Linked DNA regions of Drosophila melanogaster. The protein of the gene in region 3 interacts with the protein of the main gene of each other region in a pairwise test. Each region holds a gene or a part of one and is shown on either strand. Other genes may lie near its edges. The genes, in order: CG15211, CG13526 and sle.

Region 1 (11,912 bases), on a different chromosome or scaffold from region 3:
TAGCCAAATTATTGGCAAACTGGTTTGTCCAATTTTTTTTTTTTGGAACAGGAAGCGGGTGCCAACATAGTGAATACGAAATGGGCAAAAACTGCTTGTCGCGAATGCCACCCCTCTATACACTAGTGTTCTATCGAAATTCGTTATCGTCATTGGCCGAACTCAAGGCACAAGTATGAGATGTGCTAGTACGTATGTATGTACTAAGTATATTCTATAGAATTCGGATATATATGGATATGCTGGTGGTCCGAGCGACCAGCTGGCCTTGCCCCTCGCTCAGCTGTTATGTGATTTGTGATTTGGCACTGCTGCACTTGCCAAAAAAAAAAAACACTAAAATAACACTGGCAATAATATTTCGGGGGTGCATATATAGCGCACATATGTACATATTTGTACATATATACATATGCATATGCAGTCCGAATCAAAATCGAAAACAAGAACTGCACTTTTCGCTGCGATTGGGGCACCTTCAGCAGTTTGTCGTTTCGTTTCGTTTGGTTTTGTTTTGGTTTTTGTGAAAGGAGTTTTCGCTGATAACGTGGTGAAATGCATACATACATAGCAGAAAAACAACAAAGAAGAAGCAGAAGATGTTTTTGTTTTTTTCAACCTTTCTGTTTTCCATTTTTTTTATTATTTTTGTTTTGTGTTCAGCAGCGCATCTATGACTAATTCCAGTCGCACTTTGTGTATTTGCGAAAAACAAAACAAGCAGCGCTAGTATAAGTGTGTATTAGTGAGTATTAGTGACTTTTTTTATGCGCAGTACTCGCTCGTTTTGCCAACAAACAAACGAAATTAAAATCGAAAACAACTGGTTGGTGCACACACAGAAAAAAAACGGGGTGGTCAAAACTTTGCTTGTAACTAAATTATGATGACAGATAGATATATGCGATTTTCTTGCTGTGTAGCCAGAGGGTGGGATAGAGGAGAGGAAGAGGTGGCACAGATGAAATCTAGCACTGAAAACAACAACATCACAACAGCTGAGCAAGTGAAACGGCTGCTTTGTTCTCTCCCTTTTTTTGCTTTTGTTTTTTCCTGTCGACATCTGTGTGCCTGTGTGCGCGTGTATGCGTGCGTATGTGTGTATGCAGGGGGCAGAATTTTCGTTTGAATTTCTTTTGAGAGCTTGTCGCCTGTTCCCCCCACCAGTAATGCAAAATGCACTTTATGCAATACCCATCGCACAAATTTCCCCAGCCACCTGATGTGCCAGTGCAATAATATTGTAATAACAATCGAAATACCCAATATGCGCAGTATTGATTTTCTTCGGTGCAAACACAAAAAAAAAGAGCGAGAAAAAAAACGACGCAAAACAAACGCATACACAGAAGCTCGCACATACACACACACTCGCACGCATATATACACACACACACACGTCTCTTTATACCTATATGCATTTATATATATATTTTTGAGTACTTACGGGCACACGGTCTGGATATTTGCGACGGATCTTGTCGCCCTCGGCGCGACGCTTCTCGAAGGCGTGCTCCTCCTTGTATTGGAACTTCATGATTGCAATGAAGAGGTAATTGGCTAAGAAACGCAGCTTCTATCACTTCGTTTGCTTTTGGGACTGTGCCGAATATCGATGCGTTGCTGAGCTTGTGTTTTTCTCTTCTCTGTTTTCTCGTACAAACGGTACGAAATACTTGTGTAGAGTGACCGTGCGCAGCAGTTGACAGAGCGCTTCGGTCTAAAAATCGATGACTTGCTGGTTTTATCGATAAGCACTCGCACTGTGGTGACTGCACTCGCTAACTGCTGTGGCTAGACTGACCGTGTGTGACCAGTGAGCGCGCAGAGACACCAACCCGAAACGCGCTAATAGTGGTGGCATATTAGACAGACACCATTTGGTTCATGTATTCGCTAAATGTTATCGGATGCAACCATGTGGTTCATGTGCTCGCTAGCAGACGGCTGTCGATATGGTTGTTGTACGCGTTAAATGGTATACACACCTACGGTCACACTGCACATATAACAGTTTTTCGCCGCAATAGAAGAATCCCTATTGTGCCATCGATATTATCGATATCACTAACTGTCATCGATGGATTGACGCAGCAGGCGAGACGAAACGTTAATTGTCAACTGTTCCCTCTGGCTGCTTACACACATAAATACACATCGCACGGAAGAAAAACAAAAAAGAGAAGGATGAGCAGCCAGGGACACCATAAGATGTCCGGCGGCGGCAAGAAGGGCGCCATGGAGCAGGACTACACCGACGTGGTCGATCTGGGCGATCGCTTCTCAGCGGACATGGCGCGCCTCTGCATGAACGAACAGTACGCGGACGTGGAGTTCATCGTCGAGGAGGAGCGCATACCCGCCCACCGCGTCATACTCGCGGCACGCAGCGAATACTTCCGGGCGCTGCTGTACGGCGGCATGGCGGAGACCACACAGCGCCAAATACCGCTTGAGGTGCCGCTGGAAGCGTTCAAGGTGCTGCTGCGCTACATTTACTCGGGCACACTGCTGCTGTCCACATTGGACGAGGATTCCACCATCGATGTGCTGGGCATGGCCAATCAGTATGGTTTCCAGGATCTGGAGATGGCCATATCGAATTATTTACGCCAGTATCTGGCCTTGGACAATGTCTGCATGATTCTTGATGCGGCGCGTCTATACAATCTAGAGGAACTCACCGAGGTTTGCCTAATGTTCATGGATCGCAATGCCGGCGACCTGCTGCTGCACAACAGCTTCAATACGCTATCCAAGGTAAGTTCACAACCAATTGGTAAAGTTGGCACTAAGAGTATGTAATGCTTACAGGAATCGCTGGAGGAGGTACTACGGCGTGACTGCTTCTTCGCCCCCGAGGTGCAGATCTTTTTGGCCGTGTGGAAGTGGAGCCGCTTCAATAGCAACGTGGACTTCAAGTCCGTGGTTAGTTATGTCCGCCTGCCACTGATGAACCTCGAGCATCTGCTGCAGGTGGTGCGTCCCTCGGGCATCCTGGATCCCGACAAGATTCTCGACGCCATCGACGAGCGCAGCACTTCAAAGGCGCTGCCCTACAGGGCGGCGCTCTGGCCGGAGGAAAACGTGGCCGCGGAGACGTTTTTGTCGCGCTGCATCCAGGGAGAGTGTCGCGACGCGCTGCTGGATGGAGATGTGACCACCTATGACATGGAGAACGGGTATACGCGCCACTGCATTACGGACAGCAAAGATGCGGGCATTGTGGTCGAATTGGGCACGTTCTGCATGATCAATCACATTCGCATGCTGCTCTGGGACAGAGACAGCCGGGCGTACTCCTACTACGTTGAGGTGTCCGGCGACCAGCAGCATTGGGATCGCGTGGTCGACTACAGCGACTACCACTGCCGCTCCTGGCAATACTTATACTTCGAAGCACGACCCGTCAGATTCATTCGACTGGTGGGCACCCAGAACACTGTAAACCGGGTAAGTCAGCAGTGATCTCTTCAAACTTTCCCCATTCTTTAACTTTTTCCCTTTCCATTAATATATAGGTATTCCATGTTGTGGGTCTGGAAGCCATGCACACGGCCAAGGTGCCGCGTTTAGTTAACCATTTTGTGGCGCCCAAGACGAACGTGGCCACCGTAGAGATGAGCGCCATTGTGACGGACGGCGTGAGTCGCACCCGCAACGCGCTTATCAACGGCGATTATGTGCGCTACGACTGGGACTCGGGATATACTTGCCACCAATTGGGCAGCGGCGAGATCGTCGTCCGTTTGGGCCAACCCTACTATTTGGGCTCAATGAGGCTGTTGCTGTGGGACTGCGATGATCGCACCTACAGCTTCTACATCGAAATTTCGACGAACCGCAAGGAATGGCAAATGGTCGTGGACCGCCGCAACGACAGGACCCGCTCCTGGCAGAACTTTCACTTTACTCCGCGTCCAGTGGTCTATATCCGCATTGTGGGCACACGCAACACAGCGAATGAGGTACGTAGCAGTGCAGCGCCACAAAACATGTCCGATAAGCTAATGCTCTCCTTGCTCTTAGATCTTCCACTGCGTCCACCTCGAATGTCCGACCCAGGACAAAAACTACTTAAAGAAGATAGCCGACATGGAGAAGGAGCGCGAGAAGAGGGAGAAGGAGAAGAAGACGGCCAAGACTGACGATGACAATATTGCCTCTACCTCGGGATCCTCGTTGGCTTCAGGCCATGCTGAAAGTCCCTCCACTTCCTCCAGCAGCAGCCAAAGCGTTTTAAGGTCCATCCACTGGCCGCCACAGACAAGGGAAGTGGCCGTTGCCCCACTCACTCCGCCAGCACTCTCCCCGCCCGGCACGCCAGCACTTCCGGCTCCTCTGACCCCGGCAACCTCGTCGCCGCATAACAACCATGAACAAAATCAGCCAAGTAATATCAGTGCAGACGCAAGCCACCACACCAGTCCAAGTTCAAGGAGCAACCCCAGTCCCAGCCTAAGTAGGAGCAGAAGCCAGAGTGCGGAGTTGGAGCCAGTGCCGCCATTGGTTGAGCTTGACACCAGGGAGACGCTCTGAGCTGATCGCCGCTGCGGCCGATAATGTTTTGTACTTGAAATACTCCTGTGGTCTGTTAGCTGTTAGTCTCCGCGCTTAGTTATATTTTGCAGACCGTGCTGCTCTTGTTATCTAGTCCTTCCCAGTGCCCCAATGCTTGGTGGTTCCAAAACCTGTGCATTGCATATTGGTTTTGCGTTATTACCTTCGTTATATACTATATGTATATACATATATATATATATAGATATATGTTTTTATAATTTTATTGTGATCCAAAAATAATTCCTTATGTTTGCAAGGCAGCAGAGTTATTTATATAAGCAATATAACTGAATTCTATGCACACACACACCCACCCACACACACACCACACACACACACCACACACACACACACATGTTTAACGCGAACTCGAATGCGATTTCCGAGCAGCTGAACCAAAATTGTATACGATATCCGATCGCATAGTATAAATCTGTACTGTCTAGCCTTATGTCCGGTCCATGTCCTTGTCCAAATCAATCCATTTGATCCGCAACTCGTAGTCTTTAGGCTCATCGAGCGGCCCAAAAATTAGGCTCTATTTATTAGGCAAATTTTGTCATAGTTTGTATTGCACGCAAATAAAAGCTAACCAAAAAAATGAAAACACCGCTTATTGTTTCACTTGCAAACCAATCGGTTTCTTATAAAATTTTTAAAGTCCCTCACACATTTCAACCACGAATTGTGCCGTGTGTGACCACTGTGCACCACACATGCCACCCACTGTTGCCCCAACATCCACAACACGCTCCACTGTTTTGAAATTCCGATCAGAGGCGACCCACGGCCGTGCTGCAGCGGCAGCCATAAAAGTCGAATCAGAACGTTAAACCAGTTGCGACGCACAGTGGGCGTTGGGAAGAGAGAGAGGGACGCCGATCCAGCGAGCGAATCAGAAAGAGATGGCGAAATGCAGTGCTAGCCAAACGGGAATTTGTGGGTTCTTGAAGAAAACTAAAAAAAAAAGAAAATATTACTCATACGCCGCGTTGTCTACATGATTTAATAATATATATTGCATATTTTGTACGGATGGTTTTAATAAAATGTAAATGTTTTATTGAGAAATCTAGACAACTGTATTTATTTAATAGTTTTACTTTTATTTTGGAATGAACACAATCACACAATACGGTCAATCTGGCCCACTGTGCCGATTATAACAGTTAGCGGCGCAGGCGCAACAAACTAGTTTGCCCCACAAGCAGCGGGGAGTGGCAACTAAGGGGGGTGGGGGGTGGTTCTATTTAGGGCGTTGCAGGGGCGTCGTCAAAGGGCGCGCGCAACTAAATAGCCAACTGACTAACTAACTAACTGGGAGAGCGCGAATGTGAGTGTAAGTCCGAGTGGGAGTGGGAGAGCGAGCGTGAGTGCGCTAGTGTGGAGCGGAGCGGCGTGCGGTTAACCGTTAGCCTGCAGCGGCGGCAAGTTCAGCTCGCAGTTCAGTTCAGTCGACCAGCGGCCGCCGTGGACAAAGCAACGTAACGCCAAAGCAATCGCAGCGCAGCTCATGGATATATAGCTACAGTTAACTACCAGATACTAAACTACACACATTTCACCACATACCCAAATATACCCACCACACGCGGCATATATCTCTATATATATATTTGAGAATTAGAGGCGTGGGGGTTTAGGGGGTGGGGTGGTAACTCGCGCGAGGGCGTCACACGCGTTCATATACATCAGATATAGATATATAGGGTAGCTGCCGATCGACCAGCGAACATATAGAAAGCGGTGGTTATTTTTCTCATCTTATTTTATTGTGACAAAAATCGCGACAAGTGTTTAAAAATAGTTGTTGTGCCCAGCTAATAAAGTAAACTTGCCCGCCAAACTGAAACTGAAACTGAAACTGAAACTAAGCCAAGCCAAACTATAAACAGCAACAATATGGTCGAGACCGTTGTCAATATCGAGCGCACAACAACAACAACGACGAACGGACCGCCAGGTGGAGCGAACCCGACCGTTGGCAGCGGTGGCGGCTTCTGGAGCGCCATTCGCCTCAACATCGACTATTTCCGCACCATACCGGGCATCATCAAAATTGTGGAGTTTGTGAGTACATACAACTAGCTGAGATATATCACTACTATATTTTTATAATTCATTATAAAACAAATGAAAATCTAATACTTAATATTGCAACATATGATATTTCGAAACTATTGAATACGATCCACTTGAGTAGAAGTCTTTTAAAAACTGAAACCAAAAACTGGGCCAAATTTCCAAACATATCAAAATTATGTACATTACATGTTTCTAAACTCTTAGATTTAAAATATGCATAAATGTCGGTTTAAATAGAACTTAGGAATGCGATTATGTTGAAAAAGTACCATAATGTACATACATTATTTTGTGGAATGCTAAATTCAGACATAAGTTTCCGAATTTGGCTGTTATCGTATTTCCTCGAAACTGATAGAGCCTTCGAAACATAAAGTTTCAGAGGGAAATATTAAAATATACGTTGGATAATTGTTGTAGAGAAAAGTTAGAATTCCTCATAGCACTCTTATCGTCATAAATTGAACGGTTTTATCTAGAGTTTGCCTTCCGCCACCATTCTTTATCGAGATATCTCGAGACTTAAGAAACCCTAGAGCCTCGATGTGTACTCAATTACACAAATATGTATACAATATGCCCGACAACAAGTGTGTTGTGCACTTGCCCCTTTTGTGTGTACATATGTCAGGATCTCATTAGACTTACGACGGATAAGATAGGGGTAGACAAGTTGTAGGAACTGCAAACATGTGAGCTCCATGGCCATGTGGTCAACTCATAGCCCTCTTCTTGTATTCCACAGACGTTAAACACTTAACGCATTTGGCCTGGTATTCGAAGCTATGTATGATCTATCTTTTTTCCCACAAATCCGCAGCAAAATGAAGTTAAAGTGTGGGCGATGCAATCGGTATGCGACGCCAACACAAGGTACTCGCAATTATATGAGTGGGCACTGGGGTAACTCAACTACCGCTCGGATGGATCACCTGCTCAGGTGTAGAAAGTTTTCAGGCAAAAATTTCTCTATTCTCAATGGGCCAACGCTTGGTGGGCACAAGGTCAAGGGATAACGACAAGTGCTTGGGACCCACATGAAAAATGCATTATTAAGCGCTCGTCAGTTGTTACGGAGAAAATCAATAGCGGATAAATGGGAGGAGTGCTGGGTGCTTCGATGATATGATTACCGTCACAATAAGCTGTCGTTTATTAACTTATATATATTGATTTTCTGTTCTGAAAATCGGCTATTATCAGGCGACTAAGCTAGTTTAGCTGACGGCTGACGAAGTAATTTGCGGATGTTCTGGTAGGACTTATTTCCAATTCATATACTAATCTGACCAAAAAAGGAAAGCAAATACTTGTCATTCAAATATGCTTTGATTTCACCAATGGCTAGTTAATTTTCTTTTTCGGTTAGCGGTGTGCCTGTCGATTGGGATATTTTTGTGGCAACTAATCTTATCGGTACCCTTAAGCGATAGTCTGCTGATAGTCGTCTCAGCGCAGTGTGAAATATGTAAAAGTGCTCCACTTGAGAGTTGCCACAAAAACAGGGCCGTAATTGCAGCTGCTCGTTTCCCAAATGCCAATTGATAGGTATTAAGCCCGTTAAATAAATAATTCAAATTGGGCCAAATGGCGGGAAACTTGACCACTTTCATGGCTATCTATTTTAAGACTTTTGTTTCTTGAGCTTAACTAAATTATATTAGATTATTGGTACTATAGTTCGAATTTGACTGCAGTTTTGACTGTTTTCACCGATTGTGACTCATTTCGAACAATTCTGCGAATATATTGAGTGCCATAGCTAATCGCTCGTTACTCATACGCACCGTTATCCGAACAAAGTGGACGATAATGTGGCGACCACCTGTTTGCGAGCGGAGAGGAGCAGACCGACGATATTTTCGGTAGCCATGCTCCTGCTGATAAGCCAATCGATTCCTGACACCTGACTGCCGATCGTTAATTTGCCCACGGACCATTACACATACTCATCCGCCCAGTGGTCCCAAATCATACCAACAACAACAACAACAACAACAAAGCCCCCGAAATATAACGCTTCTTTCGTATCTTATCGTTGGCAATTAGCATTTTGGACCCAGCATTGCCTCAATTTACTTACCATACATATTCACGCGATGCCCCAAGCATATATGCATTCCATGGCCAAGTGTGCTCTATATACATATATACGTACATACACATCGGAATATCTACGAGTATATGCAAATTCGGAAAGAGAACGATTTATTATTAAGTTTTGTTGGTCGCGGTCCCTGCCGTTCGAGAATATTTTTTTTATAATAGCCTAATTACGTAAGACGTGTATTTTGGAAGCTGCCGACGGCATTCTTATTGTTTGGCATTGTAGCATTGTCGTGGATTTTAATTTTAATACGAATGTTTTAGCCAAAAGCGGAAATTATGACACAAATACGGGGTGTCATTCAAGAAATTGTTAACCACAAAAATGCGGGGGAGGCGAAGAGATCTGGGGAATTCGAGCCGAAAGTCACTTTAGACAGATGCTGGCGTTTGTTGGCGGTTTGTTGATGAAAATGCGATCGATCGTTGTGGCATCATGTACAGTGCATGCCATAAACGTAGGCTGTTTGGCTTGTAGCCGAAAGCAGTTAACTTAAACTATCGGAAATATAAATTGTATATTGCTACTATCTTATGGGCGCACTTTTTCTGAAACCTCAAATCTTATCCCTTTTCAGTTATAAGTTTCAGTTAGCGTCTTGCCTTACAGCTGCGAAACGGACTGCACTAAGTGCACATGGCTATGCAAATACGTGTGTGTTTGCAAACTGTGTGCTTGGGTACATTTTAGGTAATTGACGCTGACTAAGTGTACGGCGCTCAGGAAAGTGAGCTCATCTTTGAAGCTCCGTCTTGGCCCTGTTAACAGATTGTTAGCCAACAAAAGGGAGGGCATACATATGTATGTATACAATTCAAGGGCATTGATCCTTCTATTAGATAATCCAGTTATGGTTGTCCATTAACTTCGAACTATATATATATTTGTACCACCACAATTGGAATATTTGTTAAACATTGCGAGGATATTAGCTTACAGGTATTGTTTAAACTTTAAGCTTTCGAAGAAAGAACATTATTTATACATATGTAGTTGGAAGTTTGTAATCTAACGATCTTGTTGTTTATGTGCGACCACTAGAATTTCTGTGGCTTCCATTGAACTTCAGACGAGGCAGACGCGGCTAGGAACCGTAGACCGTATAATCGGAGGCCAAGAACTCGATCCATTTCAGTGGCGTTTCGCGTCATTGAATTTCGCTCGAAAAGTAAATAATTATGTTGCTGCCCCGATCGATATACCCAGATGCACCCAACTCTCTACGCAGTTTTTCATGCTCCACAAGGCAATTTGATCGTTGCCATGGAACTAAAGATTATGGTTATATGTATATGGTTATAAGAACTTTCCAACCGTGCACATAAGAACTGATTAACACATACAAATGTGTATATATATGCCAATCTTGTCGTTATATATACCTTATGTATGCATACGCAGAAGTAAAAATAAAAATAAAAAGCCCGCCATAAATTATGCTTAGAAAAGATAAAATTCGTATAATTCCCAGACGAATTTCTCTCTGGCTCTTTTATTTTTGAAAAGTGACGCACAACATTTGTGGATCACAAGTGCGAGGCTAAAAAAAAAAGTATATAAGTCAAATGAAGAATACGAACACCATTTGGAAAATGCATGAATCCAAGATCCAAGATCAACAAATCTCAACAAATCGCTGACAGTTCAATCAACCTTTGATATGCGGCTGCTGTGCAGTTAATTGTTTACCAGATAGCAAATAAGAAACACACACAAAAAAAAAAACAAAGGGGACAACAACAAGATGTTGCTATCAACAGGTCGCTTTTGGCCTGGGCTACAACTTTCAGCTTTCACTTTTCGTGTACCTTTTGTTTTAGCCAAAAACACAATGCTCAAGTCGACTGACTGCGCACACCTGTTTGATTTCTTATTTTGTTGCTGTGTCGCCAAAAGCTTATTGCCATTTAATTGCCTAAAACAACCACGAATGTGTGTCATCATCGGCACCTGTCATCCAGCTTTATGATCTTAGTGTTCCTAACTCACGAAATCGCCCTGCGAATTTGCTTGAAATGCGATAAGGTTCTCGAAAATGACTTACAGATAGTTCAGTATACATATATTAACAAGTTATTGGTAATATATACTGAGTCATTCATAGATACGGGATACTGTTACCTCAGTTTGTTTGAAATATGACATAAACTTAAGTTAAGTTGAGTAAAATGGAGTACCTAATTGTTTCTGAGCCATTTTACTACAAGCACATTTCCAAATAAATCTGAGCTACATATGTATCTATGTACATATGTATCTATGTATCTGTGCAGTGGCATTCTTTGAATTCACCGCTTAATTAGCTGGAGAACAAGGCGACATTCTGAGCACAGCCTCTAATTTTTCATGGCGTGCATTCAATTGAAGGTGACATCACGACATGCTCACTCCAGATTCGAAATCACGACCTTGAAGAGGCGCCTCTCAATTGGAGGAAGATCACGATCTGGGTGACTATACATATATGTATTACAACTAATAATATAAGATGCTATGCAATCTATACATCTCAAATATGCATTCAACTTTACCCTAAATAGACATTGCATAAAACTGCACAATTACGATTTAATGCGACAGATGGCGCTTGAATCTTAAAACTACTCGTATATTATTGCTTCTACTGCGACCTTGTACACTTACACATTTACCCATCTTTTTATACACACCAGGTGCTGGGCATCATCTGCATGGCCCTGGCAGCTCCTCCACTGGCCTCGGCCACCTCGTTCTTCATGTTCGTCATCGTCATCTCGTTCATCATCAACATTCTGCTGATCGCCGCCTATTTCCTGGGCATTCGCGAGGCCCTCAACGTGGCCGTCAACTGGATATTCTCGGTGAGTGACAAATGGCAACTAACTGCTCTGGATCATTAGTATGAACTAACCCACCCAACTGCTACTTTGTTTTGCCCAACAGGAGCTGATCACCACCGCTGTGCTGACGCTGCTGTACTTCATCGGATTCATCGTCCAGCTGGCCAGATGGTCGGATGCCACGGGCAAGGGTTCCGGTTCGAATACCGCCGCCGGTGTCTTTGGACTCTTCAATTTCCTGGCCTACGCGGCGGGCACGTACTTCCTGTTCCTGGCCCACAGGTCCGGGGCTACCCACTAAGTGCAGCCAACTCAGTGACTGGATCTTAGTCTAGAGT
Region 2 (2,782 bases), on a different chromosome or scaffold from region 3:
CGTTCCTTCTGGATAAGCTCCTTCTTCATCTTCTAGCTCTTCCCCTACTGTGAGCCCCGCCTGCAGCGCCCAGCCAACTGGCAGCTGACTTGTTTACACAACACTTTGCATGTGTGTTTGTGTGTGCGGCCATTGCACATGTGTCCATGTCCATGTCCTGCAGGGGGAGTGGCAGGGGCGGTGGCGAAAGGATGGCAAAGTCAGCAAGCAAAGCTCTGGCGGCTTAATGGACGAAACGTGCTGTTGAATTAATTTCTGGCTTTATGCTCTCAATTTTTTCCTTCCGTTTTCCATTCAGCCGCCTTCGTTTTTTCTGCCAGCAGGCAGAAATATATGTACGTCTATGTATTGAATTTCAATTTTTAAGTACTTCAAACATTAAGCCCTACTAAAAACAAAATAAAGAACATTTTAAATAAAAAAAAAACCATTATAAAATTAAACGAAAATTCATAAACACTGACTGGCTTTTTACACAAAAATTAAATATATTAATAATTATGAAAACAATAATTTTTATTATAATCTACAATAGATTTGTGAGATACATTTTTGTTTGTTTGCTTACTCTGTATGAAAAATGTTCAATTTTGCTTGCTGTCTCAGCTCAAATGGGGCTGTGCATAAAGCCTACGAAATCGCGCAAGCTTATGCGACCATCGCCATCCATATCGACTGCTTGGCAGATATCCTTAATATCGTCATCGGTTACGACTTCGCCCAGGACGACCATAATGGCACGAACATCCTGGACGGTGACGTAGCCGTCGCGATCGCGGTCAATCATGTTAAAGGTCCGGCATAGACTTTTATCACTATCCACATTGGCCATTCGGGGCGCCATCATGCGTATAAATTTTTTCAAGTCCAGCCTCTCCTCGTCTCTCACAGCCACCGAATGGATGAGATCGTACAACTCTGCCTCAGTGATTTCGTAACCCACTGATATTAGAGCCAGTCGCACCTCGTTGGCTGATAATGTGCCATTCGAGTCCAGATCATACTTTTCAAAGGCATCCCTCAGTTCGTCGATATGCTCATTCGTCAGCTCATTGCCGGAAAAAGAAGGCATGGCACTAGCAAATAAAACCCTAAAGTAGTTCAGGAAAATCAGGAATACAAAAAAAAAAAGGAGAAATGGGGAAAAACCGATGTGTATGAAAACTGACAATCAACTCAACTCAACCGAACTCAAACTCTGTTCTCGATGGCTAATAAAACACTTAGGCAAGCAATTGTTGTTGTTGCGGTCACAAACTTTTCCGGAATAATAATGCATCATATACTCGTACAAGGGGCAATAAAGGGAAAAAATAAGGAAAGCAGAGATGCTGAAGCATGCAACGTTTGGAGAACCATCCATCAATTTGTCAATTCAGCGCTTGCCTTTGAGTGGCCGTCCATGGGACAGGAATGATGTTAGATGACGATGATGATGATGATGGGCAGTAGTTGTGCTGTGGAGTGCTGGCCATAAAAAATCAAGCGGGCATATAAATTGAAAGGATGCTCTTGTACTAGCTGAAAGGATTTTTTGTAATCCCTGTCCAGTTTCAAGTAATTATATTGAATAAATGCTATCATAGTTGGACTTTTAAATTTCAACCATACTGTGAAATATTTTTGAGAAAATCCTAATTAAGACTGCTGTAATTTCAGCAAATAAGAAAACATTTATTTAACCACACCTTCTGTCTAATGCTTCTACCTCCGCCTCCTCAAATCCCTACAATCGCAGGGGACGCGAAGCCACTGACTTGTCAGGGATTTCTAGGCTTAGAAATAAGTTTTCCGACAGCCCATTTGATTCATTCAACTTTGAGGCCTGCTCTTGTTGCGTTCATTCCCCCAAAGACTTTGAGCCGGATGATAAGCAAATGAAATGTTGTCGCCGTCCCACATGACGAATGATTAATGACACGAATGATACATTTCTCCCGGGGGCAAAAACCACGCGCCACGGCCAGTCAAAAGTTTAAACCCAACTTTAACCATGGCAGGCACTTTTTCACTCGGTGTCACGGTGCCTGGCTGCAAATTTCGCTAGTCAGAGCTTAGTGGGGGATACTGTTTGCAAAGTGACTGAGTCCGGAGTCTTCTTCTGCTACATTAGCCTACTTCCTCCGCTCCACAAGCAACAGCCCACTCAGGATTCCTCTGATGCTGCAACAACTTGTGCTTGTGTATTTGCTTAAGCCGAGCTCGCTTTCCTGTTTCCTTCCGCTGCCTTTCCACTTTTCCACATTCCCACCGCTTCCATGAAAAGGGGGTGGGGGCGCAATGGCGAAGGGGCGCTGGGGCGGGGTCTCAGGAAAATTGATTTTGAAATAGTTGGTCTGCCTTTTTAAATTTGATTGACGTTATTACATTACATAACATCGCACACTAAGAGGAAAGGCGAAGCAGCTGGCTTAAGTTATTCATCCATTTAGCCCCACTTAGGGGCGGGGGATGGTGGTGGTTGGCAGCTAGGGGCGGCGGGTGATTGTGACGGGCAACAACAAGTGGAAAACTGTCATTATATTTGAGTTATTGATGGTTTTTTTTTTTCAAAATCATTTTGCAACAATGTTGCTGCTACCCAACCGCACCGACACACTCACACACACACCAACACACTTTAGTCACACGCTGACAGGATCTACTCCCCCTCAACCGCCACCCCCTTACCCTTCCGCACACACACACACACACTGTTACATTTACGCTTAGTTAAACGCATGGCTGTGGCTTGTTAACGCCGACAAGCGCAAAAGTTTGCCGTTCGCCAAATGCTTGCGAT
Region 3 (11,912 bases):
TCCATAACTCAGTAAAATTACATGAACTCAACGACGCCATACGATTGATAAATGACGGAATACATAGAAGATTTGGAAATGGCTATGCAGCTTTCCAGACTTGGACTGTTTAACCCCAAATTACTAAACTACGACAAACTTGAAAATGTGAACAGCCAAAACATTTTGAACATTAAAACATCCACTTGGATTAACTACAATGATAACCAAGTATTAATCATATCCCACATACCCATTTACCTTTCACTAATAAGCACAATTAAAATAATTCCTTACCCAGACTCCAACGGCTATCAGCTAGATTACACAGACACACAATCATATTTTGAAAAAGAAAATAAAGTTTATAATACCGAAAATAAAGAAGTAAAAAATGAATGTGTCACCAATATTATTAAACACTTAAATCCAATTTGTAATTTTAAGCCAGTACACACGAACGAAATAATAAAATACATAGAACCAAACACAATTGTAACCTGGAACTTAACCCAAACAATTCTTAACCAAAATTGCCAAAATTCAATTAATAAAATAAAAATAGAAGGAAACAAAATGATAAGAGTAACGCAATGCAAAATAGAAATCAATAATATAATTTTAAGTGAAAATCTGTTAGAACCAGAAATAGATTTGACATCACTATACACACCACTTAATATAACAAAAATAAAAATTGTAAAACACAACGACATTGTTGAGATGATTTCAGAGAACAATATTACACTTTACATACAAATGATCATTGTAATAATCGCACTAATTTTGTTGTACTCATATTTAAGATATGTATCATTTAAACCATTTATGATGCTGTATGCAAAACTTAAAATAAGAAAAAATCAAAATCAAAACACACCACAACAAACAGAAATAGAAGAAACTCCATTTCCCACACTATATCCATCAATCCCAGCCCAAGTATAGGCTTCTCTTTAAGGGAAGGGGAGTGACGTATTTGGGTGGTCCAAACCAGCCACTTCCATTATTTCAAAGAAATCAGTAATGCACTCTAGTAATTTTCCATAACGTATCCCAGCTGCGCAGCATTCGTTTATCTTTGGCAGCGCAGCCGTTCTTGTAAACATCCTAAAGCCTGACCTAAGCAGATTTGACTGCCCTCTTTCAACGCTACCTAATCTTAAGAACCCAAGAGCGAGGCTCTCCCGAAATACAAATATTGTTCAAATACTGAGGCTTCTCCTCAATCCAATTTGCATTTGATTTTTAGTCTTAAGCTGAGATCCAAAGAATAAAGTCGTGAAACTATTTCTCCTAAAACTATTTTTTATTTCTTGGCGTTGTCCTTAGTCAACTGACGGGACATTAGTTCGACTCATAAATAAAACAACAATTTTACTATATATATAATACAGACTAAATATTCAGTATTCATATTGTGGTAAAATTACTGCTCCCCAAGCCAACTGACCGAACTGCTATTGGTTGTTTCAACTGCAGACGGTTCCCGGATCACCAAGACGTAGCCAGCACTAGTCCAAACACTAGCTACGTAGATTCCAAACTTTTTACGCAATATGATTGGAGCCGGTCCCTTCAGAGGTGACTGCTTCATTGATATGACCTTCATTTTGGGAGATCTTTTGTAAGACTTCTCGTCGGTGTCCTCCAACTTAACGCGCTTCCTCATTTGTCGCAAGCCAAATGAGCCACGATTTCCAGATGTATCCTTCTTCCGAACCGGTGGTAAATGCTTCTTGGTCTGGACCTTCTTTTTGGGTGTTCTTTCGAACGATTTCTCCAACTTAATGCGTTTCCTCATCTGTCGCAAACCTATTCTCTCAAGTTCTTCTGAAAGATCCGAGAAACTGTCCGAAATGCGTTTGCGCTTCGAAAATTCTTTGAATTTGCTGGCCACAGAAGAGGATAGCGACGAAGACAGTTCATCCTGGATGTAGGCTGCATCGCCAATTTTTGCATTGACTAAAAGCAAAAATCGAAATAGGATACTAAATCTTGAGAATAGAATAGCATTTTACTTACAAATTGTTCGCATTGCGAAATGGTGAGCCATATGTGAAAAAATATGAAAAGTTTTGTGCAACATGACGGACAGGCAACCGCCAGCCTACTTTTCCAGAGAATTGTCCCCGAATGTTCGGACCCCTAATAAAAAGTTTCCTCCTTCATTTTGTATTTGTATGGGTAGGCTTTATTTTCTATTTCTCAGATGCTCAAAAAAAAAATGGGACAAGTTCGAAAATTTCTTAATTGATTTCATATCTTGATTGGATCAACAACCAACTTGCTAGCGTTAAGTGTGGTTAAGTGATGTGCAATTGAACAAAATAATAATATATGGCAAAGAGCAAGGGCTTGCGTAACAAATAACCAATAGAACAAATAATAGAATCAAATTCAATCGGGGAAATGCTAATGAAAAGAAACAAAAACTGAAGTATGCATTGTGTACACTTAACATTTCCACTAATTTTTCTCTAAATGTAATGTATCCTAAGATCTGCGAGCAAAGATCTGCTCCTTGAAGCGCAGCGCCGCCTGTTTGGCGGAATTGTGTTCGACCTTTGGTGCTGCGTGCTTGGCCCGCTTCCTTGACATCCCGGAGGGTCCTGGCTCCTCGCGGAACCCATGCATTTTCGGTGTGGGCGGCAGCTCGCGGAAATACTTCTGTTTGGGTGTGCACGGCTCAACTCGAACCATGCCCGAACTTGTCTTAATCAGCTCGATTATGGGAACTTTAGTGGGCGGCTCATCGACCACCGTCACGTAGCCAGCATTTGTTCGAATACGATGGCCGTGGTTCTCCTCATCGGAACTCTTTAGCGGTGATGCCTCCTGGGGCTTTTGCTTCTTCTTCCCCTTCTTCTTCTGTTTGGCTGATTTCTTGTCCACCACTGGCGGCTGTGGCGACAATTTGCGCGAGAGCGTACGTGGCTGCGGAGGAGCAAGGACTTTTGGTTATACTCTTATTATTTGTAGGCGACTAACTAACGCTTACCTCTGCTTCGGTGGCTTTTGGTGGCGCCAGAAGATTAACAGCATGACTCACAGCCTGGCGCGCTGCCTGTAGGCGCTTTACATCCTTCTTCAGCGCCGGTGGCGCTGAATTACCTTCTTCAGGTAATTCCGACGCAGATGGTTTCTCAGATGAAGTAGTGGGCTTTTCTTCAATAGGAACTTCACCATTCGAGACTTCCCCGTCGCTGTGATGTTCCTCGGCGACAGTCATTGTTTCGTTTTCGTTGTCCTCCTCCATTGAATCCGTGGAAGCACCATGTGAGCTCTTAAGGCGCTTGCGCTCGTGCTTAATCTCCATTTCCTCAAGATCCTCTGGTGCGCCTGATAGGCTTTTCGACAGGCGCTTGCGCTTGTTTTTCTGCCTCTTTTTCTCGGCCACCATGTCAACAAAGGACTGCGAGGGGCAGAAGTCATTGCCAACTTCAACCCGTTCACTACGGCGTCTCAGTTTGGGATTCTTGGCTGCCAGCTCGGGACTGGGGACATGTAAGGACTGGCGGCGGGATTTCTGTAGAGGGTTAAACATTTTTTCCAAATGGCTTAGATCACTAGAGGCCAATTCGGCGAGCAGAGCTTCTTCATCCGCAGTTGAAATTATGGATTTTTTGATTGTGGAAGGGCTTTTGATTTCAGATGGTTTATCTTCATCAGACATCTCGGTTTCGGCTTGTTTGTCTTTATCAGACTTCCCGTTTTCGGCCGGTTTGTCCTTATCAGACTCCTCGTTTTTACCAGCCTCCTTAGGGTCTTCAGTTTCATAAGAATCCATTATTTCGTATACGCTTTTGTTGCCTTTGGCTCCAGACATTTGGTCCATGAAAGATGTAGATTTTTTAATTTCGGAATGGTTTTCGCTTTCAGCTGGTTTAGCTGCATCACTTTGGTCTTGATCTTGCTCTTCCTCGTCATCAGAATCCACGATTTCGTACAGGCTTCTGTTGTTCTTGGCTCCAACCTTCTCTGTCTTCTCCTCCTCGTCGTGATCCGAGGAGTCTACCTCCATGACGCTGATATCGAGTTGCGTTTCTGTCTTGTTAAACCGCTCCGATTTGTTCAGTTCGTTGAGAGCGACTTGGCGAGATCTTTCCAGCTCGGTTTCCGAGATGGAAGATTTTTCCTCACTGACGTTTAACAGTTGGGCCGCTTCGCTCAATTTACTGGCATTGGATGAGCAGTTACTTTGGTTTTTGGGCTTCTCTGTTTTGTTCTCACTTGAGTCGTCATTGGTCTGAACTTTTCCATCATGTTCTTCATCACTGGGGCTCGCTATAATAATGCGGCGACGTTTCACGCTATCCTTCTTCCGAACCGGTGGTAAATGCTTCTTGGTCTGGACCTTCTTTTTGGGAGTTCTTTCGAACGATTTCTCCAACTTAATGCGTTTCCTCATCTGTCGCAAACCTATTCTCTCAAGTTCTTCTGAAAGATCCGAGAAACTGTCCGAAATGCGTTTGCGCTTCGAAAATTCTTTGAATTTGCTGGCCACAGAAGAGGATAGCGACGAAGACAGTTCATCCTGGATGTAGGCTGCATCGCCAATTTTTGCATTGACTAAAAGCAAAAATCGAAATAGGATACTAAATCTTGAGAATAGAATAGCATTTTACTTACAAATTGTTCGCATTGCGAAATGGTGAGCCATATGTGAAAAAATATGAAAAGTTTTGTGCAACATGACGGACAGGCAACCGCCAGCCTACTTTTCCAGAGAATTGTCCCCGAATGTTCGGACCCGTAATAAAAAGTTTCCTCCTTCATTTTGTATTTGTATGGGTAGGCTTTATTTTCTGTTTCTCAGATGCTCAAAAAAAAAGGGGACAAGTTCGAAAATTTCTTAATTGATTTCATATCTTGATTGGATCAACAACCAACTTGCTAGCGTTAAGTGTGGTTAAGTGATGTGCAATTGAACAAAATAATAATATATGGCAAAGAGCAAGGGCTTGCGTAACAAATAACCAATAGAACAAATAATAGAATCAAATTCAATCGGGGAAATGCTAATGAAAAGAAACAAAAACTGAAGTATGCATTGTGTACACTTAACATTTCCACTAATTTTTCTCTAAATGTAATGTATCCTAAGATCTGCGAGCAAAGATCTGCTCCTTGAAGCGCAGCGCCGCCTGTTTGGCGGAATTGTGTTCGACCTTTGGTGCTGCGTGCTTGGCCCGCTTCCTTGACATCCCGGAGGGTCCTGGCTCCTCGCGGAACCCATGCATTTTCGGTGTGGGCGGCAGCTCGCGGAAATACTTCTGTTTGGGTGTGCACGGCTCAACTCGAACCATGCCCGAACTTGTCTTAATCAGCTCGATTTTGGGAACTTTAGTGGGCGGCTCATCGACCACCGTCACGTAGCCAGCATTTGTTCGAATACGATGGCCGTGGTTCTCCTCATCGGAACTCTTTAGCGGTGATGCCTCCTGGGGCTTTTGCTTCTTCTTCCCCTTCTTCTGTTTGGCTGATTTCTTGTCCACCACTGGCGGCTGTGGCGACAATTTGCGCGAGAGCGTGCGTGGCTGCGGAGGAGCAAGGACTTTTGGTTATACTCTTATTATTTGTAGGCGACTAACTAACGCTTACCTCTGCTTCGGTGGCTTTTGGTGGCGCCAGAAGATTAACAGCATGACTCACAGCCTGGCGCGCTGCCTGTAGGCGCTTTACATCCTTCTTCAGCGCCGGTGGCTGCTTGGACGATTTCGCTGTGTTGGTTTCCGATTCTGAGCCGATGGTGCCCAGGAGCTTGGATGGCGCTTGCGCAGCAATTCGCTTTGGCTTCTTTTGCTTTGCTCCGCTGGCAAGATGCTATAAAATATAAGCGAATTTAGTGTGAATCGTAAAGGAGATTTTTTATTTAAGAAACTGACCTCTTTCTTTTCCTTTAACTTAGCCTCGTTGGCAGCTTCCAGGAGGTTGTGACAGTATGCCAAGTAATATTCGGCAGTCTTCTCCACCTTGACCGGCGCCATACCCTTCGGTTTTGAAGTCACAATTTCTGTCGGTCTTTCCTCGGATCGCGGTGAATCGCAAGTTTTCGGCTTCTCCATGAGAAGCTCCTCAACGGCGACAGTTTCTTCTTCTTCAGGTAATTCCGACGCAGATGGTTTCTCAGATGAAGTAGTGGGCTTTTCTTCAATAGGAACTTCACCATTCGAGACTTCCCCGTCGCTGTGATGTTCCTCGGCGACAGTCATTGTTTCGTTTTCGTTGTCCTCCTCCATTGAATCCGTGGAAGCACCATGTGAGCTCTTAAGGCGCTTGCGCTCGTGCTTAATCTCCATTTCCTCAAGATCCTCTGGTGCGCCTGATAGGCTTTTCGACAGGCGCTTGCGCTTGTTTTTCTGCCTCTTTTTCTCGGCCACCATGTCAACAAAGGACTGCGAGGGGCAGAAGTCATTGCCAACTTCAACCCGTTCACTACGGCGTCTCAGTTTGGGATTCTTGGCTGCCAGCTCGGGACTGGGGACATGTAAGGACTGGCGGCGGGATTTCTGTAGAGGGTTAAACATTTTTTCCAAATGGCTTAGATCACTAGAGGCCAATTCGGCGAGCAGAGCTTCTTCATCCGCAGTTGAAATTATGGATTTTTTGATTGTGGAAGGGCTTTTGATTTCAGATGGTTTATCTTCATCAGACATCTCGGTTTCGGCTTGTTTGTCTTTATCAGACTTCCCGTTTTCGGCCGGTTTGTCCTTATCAGACTCCTCGTTTTTACCAGCCTCCTTAGGGTCTTCAGTTTCATAAGAATCCATTATTTCGTATACGCTTTTGTTGCCTTTGGCTCCAGACATTTGGTCCATGAAAGATGTAGATTTTTTAATTTCGGAATGGTTTTCGCTTTCAGCTGGTTTATCTGCATCACTTTGGTCTTGATCTTGCTCTTCCCCGTCATCAGAATCCACGATTTCGTACAGGCTTCTGTTGTTCTTGGCTCCAACCTTCTCTGTCTTCTCCTCCTCGTCGTGATCCGAGGAGTCTACCTCCATGACGCTGATATCGAGTTGCGTTTCTGTCTTGTTAAACCGCTCCGATTTGTTCAGTTCGTTGAGAGCGACTTGGCGAGATCTTTCCAGCTCGGTTTCCGAGATGGAAGATTTTTCCTCACTGACGTTTAACAGTTGGGCCGCTTCGCTCAATTTACTGGCATTGGATGAGCAGTTACTTTGGTTTTTGGGCTTCTCTGTTTTGTTCTCACTTGAGTCGTCATTGCTCTGAACTTTTCCATCATGTTCTTCATCACTGGGGCTCGCAATAATAATGCGGCGACGTTTCACGCTAGACCTCTCAGCTTGTTCAGATTCTTCAGCGTCTTCAATTTCATCCTCGCCAGAGGAGTAGCAAAGCTGTCCTAAATCTTCCTCGTCTTCGTTGTCCGATACAATAAACGAATCGTCGCCATCAGATTCTTCTGGGGTAGACTCCTCAGTATCTTTACTGCCAACGGACTCCCCATCGATTGGAATTTCATTCTCCTCCATTTCCCGGCGAAGCGAACTGTCCATCGAATCTCCAGACATGTAATCTTTCCCAGCATCTTCAGCTTCTAGGTCCACAAATTCGGAAATGGATTTGTCTTCTTCGTGCTCCTCCTCGTTTTCTTCTTCATTCCCGTGGTCTTCAACATCTTCCTCAAAGCTTTCTAGACGAGCCAGGATTTTATTCTCAGCCTTTTGCTTTGACATGGGTGATTGTTCCACCATCTCATCCTTAGCATTCTTTGATTCCAGCTCATCGAATGGCTTGATAGCATCAATTTGAGGAGGTGCTGGATGCAATTCCTCCGTGCTGTTGGACAGGCCACGTTCCTGATCTTTTAATATTGGTGTGGAACTATTACGACCCTTTTGCAGAGCCAGTTTTAAGGGCGTCTCCGGCTTGGGGGTTAGAATGCGACAAACTGGCACCTTCTCACGTCCTGGAGTCTTGGGAAACCGTTTCTTTTCTACCTCTAAGTCATCAGTGTCGTTGTTGAAGTCCACCGATTTTTTTTGCTCCACAGCAGGAGAACGCACAGCACGAGCTCTTATGCTGGGCAGATGTATAACCTCGGTAACATCGATTTTGTTTTGCTTGTCATCATCCATTGAATCATCTGGGTGTACTTCCTTACTGTCTTCGACATATTTTGGAGCTTCCGACGGAAATACCGGCTCATCGTCGTCGAGGTCTACAAACTCCAGTTCTTTTGGTTTCTCTACTGGCTCATCGGTTTGTGGCTCTAACTGAACAATCGAATCTTCTGCATCCAAAAACTCTTGGTCCTCCATGGACTCATCTTTTTCTGGGCTTGTGTCCATTAAGTCAACAGTAGAAACGTTTTGTGGAGTATCTCTTTTCTTTTCTATTTGAGGATGATCAATCAGTTGCTGAGTTTCTACTTTGCTTTCAATTATAGGGGGTTCAATCTTCTGGGGAGTTTCGGTTTTCGTTTTAATTTCATTGTCTACCCCAACGGGCTCGTCTTTTTCTTTAATTTCAGGAGTGCCAACAGTATGGACTTTCTGCAGAGTCTCGATTTTTCTTTCAACTTTGGGGGACTCGACGCGTAGTGTTTCAAACACATCATCCATGTTTTCTTCAATTTTCTTGGATGTCGAGGTTGGAGTTATTTTTGTAATTGTATCTGCGCTCTCATCAGGGTGAAGAGCTTTACTTGAACCTTGAATTTTCGAAAGTGTAGTAAATGACTTCAGGAATGATTGTTTGCCAGCATCCTTGTCAGGTTGGGCTGATTCGTGTGTTTCTGGTGCCTGTGAATGGGCTTCAGTGATAGATTTATTTTGCTCCTCAACAACTCCATTATCCTTGAGTTCATCCGGTACAATCAATGGCTTCGCCTTTTCCATCTTCTTGCCAGAGAATTTGTCCATTGAAAGTTTCTCGAGCCTGACTGCCACTTTGGGAGTGGTTTTAATATTGGGTTTAGCTTTTTGCTCAACTTTGGGTGAATCGTTAAGATCACGAGGCGTATTACTGGACGAACGAGTGGGCATTGGTGGAGTCTGAGACATTGAACGCGTCACTCGTTTCTCATCACTCTGCTGATTGGGTGTGAGTGTTCGCCCTGGACTCGGACTGACACTGGGCTTCCGCTGTGCCTTTCCCTTGCCCTCTTTGGGCACAGGGCTTGGACTGGGGCTGGGCTTTTCCTGCTTGACCTCATTTTCCTCAGGTTCCTCTGTTAGTGTAAGCTGTTGGCGCACAGATCTGGTGTTTTTAGCTGGCGTGCGAGCTGTCCTTTTCACGGAAGAGGGCGTCGTCGGCTCGGGAGTTTCACCGCGTGCCAAGGATGCGCGCCTGGTTCGTGTTGGAGTCCTCACATCTAAAGTGGACGAGTTCAGACGTGTGCGACGTGTGGCACGTGGCGAAGCGGTACCTTTTGAAGCGAGAAATAATATTCTTAGACTTGAAACAACCGGGATCCGAGTTGGGCCACAACTTACCGAGTTCCGCAACCGTATCCAACTGCGGAGTGCTCGGACGACTGTCCGTTTCCAGAAGGGACAAGCGACGAGTTCTAGCCCGGGTCACTACCATATTTATTGGATTAAACGGATAAACGAAAAAATGAATAATGTGTAAGAATAAATTTTATTCGATCGAATGCAAAGGCGACCTGCTTGAGATAGGAGCCCCCCGTTAATGGCTGACTTTGGAGCGCCGGTTTACTTGTCCCGTTGCTTTTTCAGCACAGCACGCTTAGATTCACTCACCGCGCTTTCCATCTGTGTTCTCCGTATTATCATCCATTTGGCCCGGCTCTTTTGTTTTTCGCACACAACAATTAATTGAAATCAAGAGAGTTTCGAACCCGCATGCAAATTATAACAAAGAAATAGAAACGAAGACGCCAAGACGCCGAGCCAAAAAGTGATTTTCACATGTGCCGCAAACTGCGACGTTCTCTAACACTGCAGCCGGCTGTTGAGCATTTGTGTGGCGGCCGTTAGAATTCAAACTAGTATAGTTTCGGGGCTAAATTCAATGTGTCGATAGCCTAATATCACCTTCAACTGATGAATTATCTTAAATTAAATTTTATTCGAAATTAGGTTTCTATCTTCTTATTTTAAGTGCAAAATCACTTAATAGTTCGTCCGATTTAGACGCTGTGCAGCATTGGCCTGTTTCGGCACCGATAAAGTAGCCGATATCATTTAAGCGGAATTATCGCGAAATCTAAATTTAAACCATGACCAAACCGCCAAGACTTCTTGTAACGGTTGAATAACTGGATATTAAAGCGATGTGTTTATACATATGTATGTATTTATAAAAGTACAAATATTTGACGATAATCATTTTTATATTTAAACAAAGAGTATTTTTTTAGACAATTCAATAATAAAGTGTAATTTCTATTTATTTGCTTAGTGATTATATTCATAATCAGGCTGTTAACATTAAGTTGAAAACATAATTAATGGCTAGAGCATATTTTGCTTTGCTAACTCCGGATTAAACTGACTGTTGTACTTTTGGACAACCTTAGGCGTCGAAGCCGGCGTGGATTCGGCACTGGCAGCCACCGGCAGCTCCTTGGGTGCGAACAGAGCCTCGGAACGCTGGCGTTCCGCTGTTTCCCGTCGCATGCGCTCCCTTCTTAGCGTCTCGAGCTTTTCTCGTTTTATGCGTTCCTCGGCCAAAAGGGTCTCCCTTGAACCATTTTTGCTCTTGTGCTTCTTCTTATCTTTCTTGGATTTCTTGTCCTTGTGGGGTATTGAAGGTTCCTGAGAAGGCGCGGGTGTCCTTTCGCGAATTCTTTTTGTGGCCTTTTTGGGATCCTTTTTTTCTGGCGGCAACAAAGCATTAATTAGGGTCAGAGGATCGTGGGCTAGCTTTTGCTTATGATGAGTTTCAGTAGCTGTGGGATCCCCAACTTCTGGTCTTTTGGGGGCTAACTCGTACCAGCTGCGCACTTTCAAAGCTTCATTGGTGTCCTGGCCCAAGTAGGTGAGGTAGCCGATCTGCTTCTCATACTTCTCCTGCTCCTCCTTTTGCTCCTTTTCCAAGTCTTTGTTAGTGGTCTTCACTCTCGCCTTGTAGTCGGCAAAGAGATCCACCCCTTTGGTTGTTTCAGTACTGCATTGCGACTCCTCTCGAGATTCCTTGGAGGCCTTCTCCGGCAAGCCCGATTGGCGGCGCAGGAAGTTGATTCGTGCCTCGCTTTCCTATTTGATAAAAGTACACATTACTATGTTAAATTGACGATATTTGGGCAATACCCACAGCAAATTCCAATTTCTCCTGCCGGACTTTTTCTTCTGCTGCGGCAGCCGCTTGATCCCGGCGCACGCGGGCAATGTTCTCCTTGGTACGCACATGCCAGCTAAGAAATACACGTGAATTGATGAGAGGTATCTTTAGAATCAGTATAAAACTTACCGTTTTTTTGGTAAAATATTCATTTTATTTCCACTTTGTTGACATTCCTGTAATCGATTACTCGATAGGCATCTCTGTCTATCGAATGGCTCTGAATTATCGAATGCCCTAAGCGCAGTAGGCCGAATTTGTTGCTCTCTAGCTTGAAAAGTGGACTATTTTATTTATTTTTTAAATGTGTTTACTTTGCTGACTTGACGTGGCCACACCCACTTACACTCGCGCGCCCCCTGGGCACTCGATTAATTTTTGGCATTCACAGGCGATTGCTAGCAATCGAATGGCAAACACATCTGTCAGAAGGTAGAAGAAGAAGGGGCAAAACGAAGAAGAAGAAGAAGCACAGAGCTCTGTTTCGCAGCAATTATTTTCCGAATTGAATTGCGAAAAAAACCCCTACAGAGTATCCCAACCAGAAGCAGGAGCACACAAATTGCCGCGGCGCACCTCCGGAATGGCCACGGAGCAGCATCACCAGCAGCGCGTCCTCAAGCAAGATGGCTACTTGGATTTGGGCGACTGTAATA

What was found.
Region 1: the proteins of sle (region 3) and CG15211 interact in a two-hybrid assay, tested with the Drosophila melanogaster proteins (one large-scale study listed by BioGRID).
Region 2: the proteins of sle (region 3) and CG13526 interact in a two-hybrid assay, tested with the Drosophila melanogaster proteins (one large-scale study listed by BioGRID).

What each region holds. Positions count from the first base shown.
Region 1 is NC_004354.4:10,766,534-10,778,445, forward strand, and holds the start of CG15211 (uncharacterized protein), read left to right. Parts: upstream 1-6,007; 5' UTR 6,008-6,093; intron 6,094-6,234; exon of another isoform or gene 6,235-6,264; 5' UTR 6,265-6,465; coding exon 6,466-6,633; intron 6,634-11,427; coding exon 11,428-11,595; intron 11,596-11,677; coding exon 11,678-11,875; 3' UTR 11,876-11,912. Other genes in the region: Atg8a (Autophagy-related 8a), read right to left, coding at 1,448-1,537; BTBD9 (BTB (POZ) domain containing 9), read left to right, coding at 2,188-2,760, 2,815-3,453, 3,522-3,968, 4,030-4,539.
Region 2 is NT_033778.4:22,753,615-22,756,396, reverse strand, and holds CG13526 (uncharacterized protein), read right to left. Parts: upstream 1,179-2,782; 5' UTR 1,073-1,178; coding exon 608-1,072; 3' UTR 501-607; downstream 1-500.
Region 3 is NT_033777.3:10,331,115-10,343,026, reverse strand, and holds sle (slender lobes), read right to left. Parts: upstream 9,913-11,912; 5' UTR 9,751-9,912; coding exon 9,714-9,750; intron 9,631-9,713; exon of another isoform or gene 9,538-9,630; coding exon of another isoform or gene 9,531-9,537; coding exon 9,444-9,530; intron 9,377-9,443; coding exon 5,868-9,376; intron 5,806-5,867; coding exon 5,584-5,805; intron 5,520-5,583; coding exon 5,082-5,519; 3' UTR 4,762-5,081; downstream 1-4,761. Other genes in the region: CG18545 (uncharacterized protein), read right to left, coding at 1,409-1,944, 2,005-2,068; CG12592 (uncharacterized protein), read right to left, coding at 2,476-2,916, 2,981-4,551, 4,612-4,624; CG12818 (uncharacterized protein), read right to left, coding at 10,428-11,171, 11,230-11,329, 11,386-11,408; Bruce (BIR repeat containing ubiquitin-conjugating enzyme), read left to right, coding at 11,840-11,912.